3 linked regions of the Macaca fascicularis genome follow. The protein of the gene in region 2 interacts with the protein of the main gene of each other region in a pairwise test. Links are inferred from orthologs where the notes say so. Each region holds a gene or a part of one and is shown on either strand. Other genes may lie near its edges.

What was found.
Region 1: the proteins of WDR4 (region 2) and RABGGTB interact in binary tests that used the Homo sapiens proteins (3 or more experiments, as listed by UniProt). The two-hybrid records come from large-scale screens. The link is inferred for Macaca fascicularis from reciprocal best matches to the Homo sapiens genes WDR4 and RABGGTB.
Region 3: the proteins of WDR4 (region 2) and FAM118A interact in binary tests that used the Homo sapiens proteins (3 or more experiments, as listed by UniProt). The two-hybrid records come from large-scale screens. The link is inferred for Macaca fascicularis from reciprocal best matches to the Homo sapiens genes WDR4 and FAM118A.

What each region holds. Positions count from the first base shown.
Region 1 is NC_088375.1:158,876,965-158,880,385, forward strand, and holds part of RABGGTB (geranylgeranyl transferase type-2 subunit beta), read right to left. Parts: intron 3,421-3,421; coding exon 3,223-3,420; intron 3,105-3,222; exon of another isoform or gene 3,032-3,104; intron 2,641-3,031; coding exon 2,535-2,640; intron 1,173-2,534; coding exon 1,120-1,172; intron 989-1,119; coding exon 878-988; intron 272-877; coding exon 146-271; intron 1-145. UniProt on the Homo sapiens protein: Catalyzes the transfer of a geranylgeranyl moiety from geranylgeranyl diphosphate to both cysteines of Rab proteins with the C-terminal sequence -XXCC, -XCXC and -CCXX, such as RAB1A, RAB3A, RAB5A and RAB7A.
Region 2 is NC_088377.1:4,158,165-4,161,809, reverse strand, and holds part of WDR4 (tRNA (guanine-N(7)-)-methyltransferase non-catalytic subunit WDR4), read right to left. Parts: intron 1,715-3,645; coding exon 1,574-1,714; intron 1-1,573. UniProt on the Homo sapiens protein: Non-catalytic component of the METTL1-WDR4 methyltransferase complex required for the formation of N(7)-methylguanine in a subset of RNA species, such as tRNAs, mRNAs and microRNAs (miRNAs).
Region 3 is NC_088384.1:6,273,686-6,278,017, forward strand, and holds the start of FAM118A (protein FAM118A), read right to left. Parts: upstream 2,906-4,332; 5' UTR 2,596-2,905; intron 1-2,595.

The sequences.
Region 1 (3,421 bases), on a different chromosome or scaffold from region 2:
AGTAGGACGCATTACTGAAAATTTGCAAGAGGGAAAGTTAATAAATAAGCTCATGGCCAATTTACAATATTGAAATAGGCAAGACAAAGCTGCAGCATTCACTCAAGGTTCTAAAGTCAGCAGAACAGAGCTTATCAAACAATACCTTCTCTGGCCTTCCATTGAGCCCGCCTGAAGGTAACTGTCGTTCACAAAGCCACCAGCCAAGTAAATCAGAATTTACTTGATGCAACTGACTTGTAATAGCCAGAAATCCTGTGCAACAATAGATCTAAAATTACAGACATAAAGTATATGTGTATAATAATTCCTTGACAGTAAAAGTGATAAAACTACTCAAATTATTAAAACACCACTTTATATTTTAAGGTTTTCTTCTCGATCTGACACTTAAAATTCCAAACACGTATTAATACCACTTATCTGAACAAATCCAAACATAGTGTTACTAGTATGCAATTCTGTACTGAAATATTACTGTCAAAATTTCTTCATGGTTAGTAAATCGCAGCCATTCACATATTCAATGTTCTCTGACACAAGAAAGGAGGTTCATCATTTATCTCAGGGCAGAAAGAAAAATGTGTGTGTTTTTTTTATCTGTATGGTTAGTGAAAAATTAGTGGAAAAAAATGTGTTTTGGTGCTTACAAACCTACTTATGTTTGCTTAGGTCAGAGGGATCCACTGACAGAGAAAGGTATATAGTATATAGTATATAAAGCAAAGCAATGAAAGCAACTAAGCAATTCTTAAGATGCCATATTACAGTCATTAACTTTATGTGTATTTGACAAACACCGAAATAACCCATTTTCCTATTTTACTACACTTGCTTCCAAAATGACAATAAATTTTCATCTGTGTTAATACATTACCTGCCCAGCATGGGATTCAGAACCTGGTCTGCAACCAAATCCACCATCAAAGTTCATACAGGATAAAACAAATTCAATTGCCTTTTCCACATTAATAGCATCAAGCTTCCCCTACAAACAGAAAAAAACAAACAAACAAAAAAAAACCTGTTAAATTCCAGAGTATTCAGCAGATCAGACAAAAAAAAAAAAAAATCCAGAGCATTCATGAACTTTAATCATTTCAAATATTCAAAGCTTACCAACAAAGCCAAAGTTGCCACCGCACAAAAAGAGAATCTTGTATCAATTTCTCCTACAATAAAAAGAGATCAAATCAAGGCAGGAGTTACCAAATCATACATGAGTCATCTAAAAACAAACTCTGCACAACTACTACTTTAAATTGAGTTCAAGCTTTACTTTTTTTTAACCCTAAAGTAAAAACTTTAGGGTAGTCAGGAAGAAAGCTAAATCTGAAGTGCCTTTACTTCCCAAGAAAATTCCTTTGTCAAAAATAACAGCAAATTGACCAGGCACAGTAGCTCTTGCCTATAATCCCAACACTTTGGGAGGCTGATGCGGGAGAATCACTTGAGCCTAGGAGTTTGAGACTAGCCTAGGCAACATAGCAGGACCCCATCTCTACAAAAAACTTTTTAAAAAAATTAGCTGGGGCTGGGCACTGTGGCTCAGGCCTGAAATCCCAGCACTTTTGGCAGCCGAGGCAGGAGGATCACATGAGGCCAGAAGACCCCATCTCTACTAAAAATACAAAAGCCAGCCAGGTGTTGTGGTGCATGTCTCAGCTACTCTGGAGGCTGAGGCAGGAGAACTGCTTGAGCTTGGGAGGAGGAGGTTGCAGTGAGCCAAGATTGCACCACTGCACTCCAGCCTGGGCAACAAAGCTCTGCAACCCCAGCAACTCTGCCTCCTCCCACCAAAAAATAAACAAACAAACAAACAAATAGCTGCCTGTGATAGTATGAGCCTATACAGTCCCAGCTACTCAGGAGGCTGAGGCCTGAGGATCATGAGCGTGGACTGTCAAGGCTGCAGTGGGCAGTAACTGCACCACTGCACTCCAGCCTGGACAGAGCAAGACCCTGCCACAAAAAAGTCACAGCAAATTATCTTAAGCTGCTTAAAGAATGCCCAGAAAGAGAAGAAAACTAATAGAACCAAAAGTATTAGGCAATTTCTAATAATGCAATAAACTTACCCTACCTTATAAAAGCAGATTTTTCACATCCCATGAAGCAGCTGGTCTCTCTGGCCTGCACTGTGTTCATCCCTAAAGCAGAGATTATCTACATTTATCAAATACAATTCTATTCCCTCCCTCCACTCAAATATTCAGCAAGTTTGTAAAGTTTTTTTAAAATTTTTTTCCCTTTCCAGCAAGTAGTTTTTAAAAAACTTTACAAAGCCACCAAATATTGGGGAAAAAAAATTCCACCTACCTTATCTTTTAGACTGGCCCCCTCTGTTCCAGTGCTCCTGTATGCTGATATAACTACCACAGTGCATGCTGGAAGTTCCAGCAGACCATTAACTCCAGTTAGACCAGCTGCTTAGTGGGACCTGAAAAGATGAAAAACTTATAAACTGGTTACTAGCAAAACCAGTACACTTTAATATTGGTATTTTGGGTAGAATGGACTAAATCTGACATTACCCCAAATATCTCCAGCAAAAGAACCATCTTCTTTCTGTAGACCTTTAACATATTCCACAACTTTATTTACGTCGATAACATTAATACTGTCATACAGTGTAAGAATCTGCAATAAAGACAAGTATTAGGTAAATACCCCTTTCAGGTTTATTCTAATCTTATGCTCAACTCTTTTTAAGTTGCCAAGCGCTCCTTTTGTCTCTGTATATAGCCTTTTCTCAAATATGCAGACTCTCCTATTATTCAATAAAATTACAGATATTATCAAAACTCAAATCTTTAAAGTATAATTTTTCTACATATAAACTTTAACTTGGCATTCCAAGATACTCAAATGTACTAACTCACATACACACAAAGTCCTGATCTTCCCATCTCAGCACCCAGCACCAGAAAGACTTTAAACCAGGTAGATGTTCACTAATACCAAAATCAAACAGATCCACTTAGCTATTTAACAGTATTTACACATACTGAAGATAAAAATTTTACCCTGCAAGGTCTCAGTGTAATTTTAGAAACTCACATCAACTTTGGATTCAGCTAATACATGCCATTACATCATTGACCTTGTAGGACAGCTTCACTTGTAACAAAACTTTTTGACCAAATCCTAATAGTTTCAATTTCCAACTCTGAAGTAAGAGAACACACTATCAAGATCATTGCAATTTTAATTAGTATTTACCTGGACAGCACTAAGAGTGTATAAAAGATGAGGATCATGTCCGATACTAGCACTTATTCCACCACATTCGTGTTGGCAAGACTTAATAAATGCCAGAATCTCTTCTCTATTCATGCGATGAAGTTGTCCCATGAGATCCATTACTGTCAGACCCCAATAGATGCCACTCATTCTTAAATACTCAGACATACAGTATTCC
Region 2 (3,645 bases):
AGGACAGAACAGGCATTCATTGCTTTTGATGCCACCTAGAATTTGTTTTTTTTTTTTTGAAATGGAGTTTTGGAGTTTTGCTCGTTACCCAGGCTGGAGTGTAATGGCATTATCTTGGCTCACTGCAACCTCCGCCTCCTGGGTTCAGGAGATTCTCCTGCCTCAGCCTCCCAAGTAGCTGGAACTACAGGCATGTACCACCATGCCCGGCTAATTTTGCATTTTTAGTAGAAACGGGGTTTTGCCATGTGGGACAGGATAGTCTCGAACTCCTGATCCACTCCACCTGCCTCGGCCTCCCAAAGTGCTGGATTACAGGTGGGAGCCACTGCGCCCAGCTGAATTTGGATTTTTACTCTTCTCTTTGAAAATGAGATGAAGCTGGGAGCGGTGGGTCAAGCCTGTAATCCCAGCACTTTGGGAGGCTGAGCCAGGTGGATCACCTGAGATCAGGAGTTCGAGACCAGCCTGGCCAATGTGGTCAAACTCTGTCTCTAGCAAAAAACAAAAATTCTTGGGCATGGTGGCATGCACCTATAGTCCCAGCTACTCGAGAGGCTGAGGTGGGAGAATTGCTTGAACCCAGGAGGCGGAAGCTGCAGTGAGCCAAGATCACACCGCCGCACTCCGGCCTGGGTGACAGAATGAGACCCTTCTCAAAAAGAAAAAAAAAAAGAAGATGAAATAAAAATCTTAAAGACAGGCCGGGTATAGTGGTTCACACCTGTAATCCCAGCAGTCTGGGAGGCCGAAGCCGGCAGATCACCCTGAGGTCAGGAGCTCAAGACTGGTCTGGCTAACATGGTGAAACCTCGTCTCTAGTAAAAATACAAAAAATTAGCCAGGCATAGTGGCGAGGGCCTGTAATCCCAGCTACTCAGGAAGCTGAGGCAGGAGAATCGTTTGAACCTGAGAGGTCAAGGTTGTGGTGAGCGAAGATCGCCGCACCACTGCACTCCAGCCTGGGCAACAAGAGTGAAACTCCATCTCAAAAAAATAAAAAAAGAGGAATGGGGAAGGCAGAAGAACCTTTCTGGACTTTGCTTGGTAAGAGGGCAAGGCATAGCGATATCTCCGTTCTTGCCAGAGTTACTGGCCTCCCCATCCACACGGATGCACTCCCCATCCATTCTTCAGACACTCAGACATATGTGCACTAAACCCACCCTCAACAGACCCCAAATCCCTACCACTCTCCAGTGCAGGCCCACAGCCTCCTTCCCGCTAATCACAACGACAGAGGACCGCCCTGGAAGGCAGGGGCACCGGCACCAACACTGCAGCCGGAGGGACCAGCCACAGGGCCCGGCTCTGTCTTCCAAGCCCACTCACCAGAGGTCTGCTACCTAACTCTTCACCACCCAACGGGGAACAGAACAGCACCCCTGCACCCTCCCAGAGCTGCTGTGAGGATCAGATCAGCCAACACACATACGGCACTGAGCGGTGCCTGGCACCGAACTGCAGCTCCATGTCAATCACTTATCACCATGTTATGGTCACTATTGCTACAGGCATGCAAGAACAAGGTGTGCATTCGACAGCTTAAGAATCCAGCGTTAGCATCTCATACCTGACACTCAGACATTGCCATGGTTTTGTACGGAAAAGAATCAGACGCTTACTGTCATCAGTTAAAGCAAAATAGCTGCCAGACTTGGAGAAGGTGGACGCCAGAATCACACCGCTCCCCTGGTCCAAGGGCGCGTCCTCCCTGAGGAAGAGAGGAAGACAGTTAAGCTTCTGCTAAGGAAATAAGAATGCATTCCCCCATGGCCAGCATGGTAATTTCTAACACGGGAGGAGGTAGAAACTGTTAAGGGGTTCATGTAGCCAAATTACAGACATACTAAAAGGACATGGGGAGGTTCCAAACAGCTCTAATTTTATCAGCGTGAAGACTAACTAAAGAGAAAATCTCCCAGCATACATGCCAGAACCCAGAGAGCTAAGCTGGAAGAACTCTCAAAGACACATGACCCTCTTCCTCACGGGCCAGGACTAACCCAAGGCTAGAGGCAGGGATAAACTCACACTAAAAATACTAGTAACAGGCCCGGTGTGGTAGCTCACACCTATAATCTCAGCACTATGGGAGGACAAGGCGAGAGGATCGCTTAAGTTCAGGAGCTCAAGCCCAGCCTGGGCAACATGGCGAAACCACGTCTCTACAAAAAACTACAAAAACTAGGCAGCCTGGGCGCAGTGCCTCACGCCTGTAATCCCAGCACTTTGGGAGACCGAGGAGGGTGGATCACGAGGTCAGGAGATGGAGACCATCCTGGCTAACACAGTGAAACCCCATCTCTACTAAAAATACAAAAAAGCCGGGCGCGGTGGCTCAAGCCTGTAATCCCAGCACTTTGGGAGGCCGAGACGGGCGGATCACGAGGTCAGGAGATCGAGACCATCCTGGCTAACACGGTGAAACCCCATCTCTACTAAAAATACAAGAAAATTAGCCGGGCGAGGTGGCAGGCGCCTGTAGTCCCAGCTACTCCGGAGGCTGAGGCAGGAGAATGGCGTGAACCCGGGTGGGGTGGAGCTTGCAGTGAGCCGAGATCGCGCCACTGCACTCCAGCCTGGGGCACAGAGCAAGACTCCGTCTCAAAAAAAAAAAGAAAACAAAAAACAAAAAAAACTAGCCAGGTGTGGTGGCAGGTGCTTGTAGTCCCAGCTACTCCAGAGGCTGAAGCAGGAGAATGGCGTGAACCCAGGAGGCAGAGCTTGCAGTGAGCTGAGATCGCGCCACTGCACTCCAGCCTGGGCGACAGAGCAAGACTCTGTCTAAAAAAAACAAAAAAAAGGTATGTGATTACTGACAGAAACTAAAAGTATTCAGAAAAGTCCTAACACTGTGTTTTTGTTTTTGTTTTTTTGAGACGGAGTCTCGCTGTGTCACCCAGGTTGGAGTGCAGTGGCGTGATCTCGGCTGACTGCAACCTGTCTCCCAGGTTCAAGTGATTCTCCTGTCTCAGTCTCCTCCTCAGTAGCTGGAACTACAGGTGCCTGCCACCATGCCTGGCTAATCTTTTTATTTTTAGTTGAGATGGAGTTTCACGACATTGGCCAGGCTGGCTTCGAACTTCTGAACTCAGTGATCCTCCCACCTTGGCCTCCCACAGTGCTGAGGTTATAGGCATGAGTCACCGCACCTGGCACTAACACTGTACTCTTTTTTGTTGTTGTTGTTGTTGTTGGAGACGGAGTCTTGCTCTATTCCCCAAGCTGGAATGCAATGGCGCAATCTTGGCTCACTGCAACCTCCACCTTCCAGGTTCAAGAGATTCTCGTGCCTCAGCCTCCCAAGTAGATGGGATTACAGGTGCCTGCCACCACGTCCAGCTAACTTATTTTTAGTAGAGACAGGGTTTCGCCATGTTGGCCAGGATGGTCTGGAACTTCTGACCTCAGGTGATTCATCCTCCTTGGCCTCCCAAAGTGCTGGGATTACAGGCATAAACCACCACGCCTGGCCAACAATGTACTCTTAATGCCTAACTTGAAAGTTACTTTTACGTGTCTCTGCTGAGGTGGTACTTACCCGCACCACTGTGGGACAGAAGCTAAGAATTCAGCAAGACAATAATCGCTTCTTAGACCCTCTGGTCCCATTATCGAACATTAAATCAGGCCCTGAAAAGC
Region 3 (4,332 bases), on a different chromosome or scaffold from region 2:
CATCTTCTCATCTGTGTCCTTTGCAATATCTTTTATAACAAACCAGTAAACATGAGTGTTTGTGAGCTGTTCTACAGCAATGTTTTTGTTTTTTTTTTTTTTTTGAGACAAAGTCTTGCTCTATCTCCCAGGCTGGAATGCAGTGTCACAATCTCTGCTCACTGCAACCTCAGCCTTCCAGGTTCAAGGGATTCTCGTGCCTCAGCCTCCTGAGTAGCTGGGATTACAGGTGCGCACCACCATGCCCAGCTAATTTTTTGTATTTTTAGTAGAGATGGGGTTCTGCCATGTTGGCCAGGCTGGTCTCAAACTTCTGACCTCAGGTGATCCACCCACCTCAGCCTCCCAAAGTGCTAGGATTACAGGCATGAGCCACCGCAACCGGCAAATTAATCAAACCTAAGGAAGGGTCATGGGAACCCCAACTTGAAGCTGATGGATCAGAAGTTCCAGAGGCCCAGGCTTGTGACTGGTGTCCAAAGGGGTGGAGGGCAGTCTTGGGGACTGAGCCCTTAACTTGTGGGATTTGATGCTATCTCCAGGTAGACAGTGTCAGAACTGAATTGGAAGATACCCAGTTGGCGTCTCTTGCACAAACGATTGGCCACTTAGTGGTAGGGAGAAACCTCTCCCCACATTTGGTCACAGAAGACAACTCTGTTGATTGTTGTTGAGTGAGAGAATAGAAAAAGCACGTTGGGTGTTTTTTCCACACACGGGTTCTCTTCAGGACTCCTAGCCCAGCATGGTCCTGGCCCACCTCAGAGACTCAACCTCTACTCACCCTACCCCACTGCATCCTGTGTGGTCATTAGTCTATGGTGATGCACACAGTCACCCTGAAGCACTAAGACGACCACAGGCCCTATGGTAATAGGACAAAAACCTCACTTAAAAGTTCAGTCCCCAGGCTCAGACAGGAAAGAGGAGGAACCAGTCTTCTGCGCCCGGGCTTTCAGAAGCTTAGCCCTGTTCCAGGAAGCCACAGTCCCCCACTACCACCGCCTTGGTCCAGGTCACCCCCATCTCTTATAGGGTCTTGCTTCCTCCAAAAAAGTCTCCCCAGCACAGCCATATGGATCTTTGAAAAACACACCAACTCCCGCCCCTCTGCTCCCGAAGCCCTTCAATGGTCACCCACTCCCTTGAAGTACCAAACCCTCCACTCAGCTTAAACTGGGCATGCTTTGGTCCTGACTGGCTCTCAGAATCACATCCTCCTCCTTGTCGCTCCCACCTCAAACCCAGCACTCTGCGAAAGTGCCAGCTTCTCCCATTCCAGGTCTCTACTGAGACACTTCCCTCACTTCTCCCCCCGGCCACCTCCCACCTTCCTTCAGCTCAGCTGGATCATTTCTCGGGACAATGGCAGGGGCAGTCGTTCAAGAAAGGGCCAAGGGCACGGTGGGCCTCCGGGTGCAAAGCTGGGTTCTCTGCAGTTAGCATTCACTCCCACGCCACCTTCATTAGGTGCGCTCCAGCCACACCTCCCGCCTTCCAACACTGTGTGCTGTGCCATGGCAGAGCCTCTCTGCCTTGTGACATACTGGCTGTCCCCTGGAACTTTGCCTGGAACGACCCTGGCAAACTTCTCTAGCTCAACCTTCAAGAATCAGCTCACCTGCTACTTAGCACCTCCTCCCCACGACTCCTAAACGCCCTCCTTAACACCCACTCCTTCCCCAGAATCCCACCCCTTCCCAGAGTCCCATGCCCACCCAGATGGGTTCCCTGTCAGCGGCGACACAGCTTCCTCCAGGTAAAACCGACCTACTTGTCTTATGCCCCGGGGTCCCTAGGCCCTGACATCAGGGACCGTGTCATCTCTATTTCCAGTGTCAATTCCTGAAGCCTATCAGGCATTCAAAAAAAAAAAAAAAAAAAGTTCCTTAAATGAAAACATTAAGAGGAGTAAACAACCTAAAAGCGTCCCCATGTGCCCTAACTCACTCCCTCCCCGGTTCAGCCGCCCTCGGCCACTTCAGGTCTCCTGATCTATAGACTGTCCTGTGCGGTCACCTGAGTCTCAGCAGAGCATTTAAAGTTAAACCCGGCCCTGCACCTGTAGGCGCGGGGACCGCAGCTTAGGAGGTGGTCGTCGGGCGCGCTGTTACCATCTTAAGTTATCACCAGCCCTAGGAACACTTCCACCCACGCCCGGCAGGTCCAGGGACCTCAAGTTGGAGACACCTAGCCCTGAGATCAGGTCGGAGAGGGAGCCTCAGGGTGGGCGGCACGGGGGCCCGAGGTCTAGCGGGGCTAAGGACACTGGGACCCACGGCTCCCCCCAGGAAGATGCCCCGGGCCTGGGGGCTTCTGAGGAGGCTGCTGGAAGCAAGTCTCAAGGGAACCTCGAGAGTTTCCGGAACCAACAGTTCTCAGGGCCCACTAGCGGCCGGGGTCCTCAGGGGGTCTCGGAGTCCAGAGAAAATCTTGGGAGTTTCAGGGTTCGCGGGCCTGGAGGGGCAGACGGATCCTGAGGGGGTCTCGGGGGCAGGGGCTCCAGGGGAAGAGCTGAGAGGGAGTCTTGGGGGTGGCCCCGGGGCCGAGGCGGATCCTGAGGAAGATGCCCGCGGGCCCGCCCCGCCCCCTCACCTGCGGCGCCTCCGAGACGCTGGTCCCAGCTCGCGCTCCCGACTCTTCACCTCCGCGGCCGGCTACGCCTCCGGGGTCTCTCGGCGGCCGCGCGCCCCTCACGCTGGGCGGGGCAAGGGGATGGTTCTCGGGGAGGGGACTGCGCGGGCACGCGAGCTAGAAGCGAGAGCCAGAGCCAGAGCCAGAACCGGAGTCGGAGCCCGAGCGGACGCCACGCCGCCTCCAGGCGCCCCTCCGCGTTAGCCGGCAGCGGCGCCGCCGCAAACCCTTCCCCCGCGCGCCCGCCCCCGCCGCGTGAACGTTCCGTCCCGAAACCAACGGCCAAGCCGCCGCCGGAGGCCCTTCCCCGGGAGAGGGCGGAGCCAGGACGCGCGCCCAACCCCGCCGCCAGAGCCACTGGCACCGCCCACCTGGGTGGTCACGGTCCCGCCCACCAGGGAGGCCACGCCCCCGGGGACTCCAGCGCAGGCGCAATCGGGGGCGCAGGGGAGGCCTTGGGCTGGGAGTCAGCGTCCCACCCCCACCTGGCCCGGCGAGCAGCGCGTCGCGTTTCCTTATCTACAGAGTGGGGGCGGGAGCACTTTGCAGGGACGTGGCGAGCATCAAGTGCGTTCGGAAGCGCTCCTTTGCAGTTGCATCCTGCACCACACTTAGGCACAGCTTCTGTCCCCAACCCAAGACGGGCCTAGACCTGAGGCTAGTCTCCGTCCCCCAACAGACTCCTGCCCGCTTAAATTGGCCAGTCCCCTCCCCAGCCCTACGTTCTTTCTTTTCAGAGTGCTTGTCACTCTCCGAAATTAGGTGCGCTTGTGACTGGCTCCCACTTCCCATCCGGGTACCTTATCCGTCTTGTACACTGGGAGTCCCCAGAAGCCAGCACGGCGCTGGGCACACCACGGCCGCCCACATGTTTGTGCGCGCGTGAGTGTCTTCCCCGTGCTCTTCCCTCATCAAGAAATACTCTTCCCCGAGGCTGAGAATTTCTACTAAAAATACAAGAAATACTCTTCCCCAGCTTAGGTTCGATCTAGCGAGGCCCCCTGACTACTCGCGCATCCCTGTCCCAGGTTCCGCGTCCGTAAAGGATGTGATCCTAGCACCCGCCTTGGGGGTATTGCAAGGCCTAAGTGAGAATATGCGTGGATTGGCTGGGCACGGGCCCCCTAGCGATCTTATTACTCCTCCTTTGTCTGCCACTGAAGTCTTTCTCTTACCTAAACAAGACCCCAATCTACTTCCTATTCCCAGCCTGCCCTGCCCAAGCTGGAGTCAATTATTACTTCCTGTCTCCATAGCACCTTTTTTTCTGTCTGATTTTAAAGTTGGCTGTTAATATCTCCCCCATCCTAGCCCACCAGGACTAGGGTGTGACAGAAGGTAGTGCTGTGTTAGCGGCCTGTGATATTTTGGGAAGGGGCAGAGTCCAGGAAACTGTGGGAACTGTGACTCTGGGATGAAGAGGGCAACCCCTGGGTGCTCCGTATGTGGGATCAGGCACTCCCTGAGGACTCTGCCTGAGTTTCTTCGTGGTGTTTTTGGGACAGCCCTATGAGGAAGGCGTCTTCATTGTTATTCCAATTTAACAAGGGGAAGCTCAGGCCCAAGAGGTTGTGTAGTGCCATGCCTCGACCTACACAAGTAACCACCACTGCATACAGCTTCCTAACCCCTGGAGGTGCGATTTAAATGCAAAAAAAGGCCGGTGGCTCATGCCTGTAATCTCAGCACTTTGGGAGG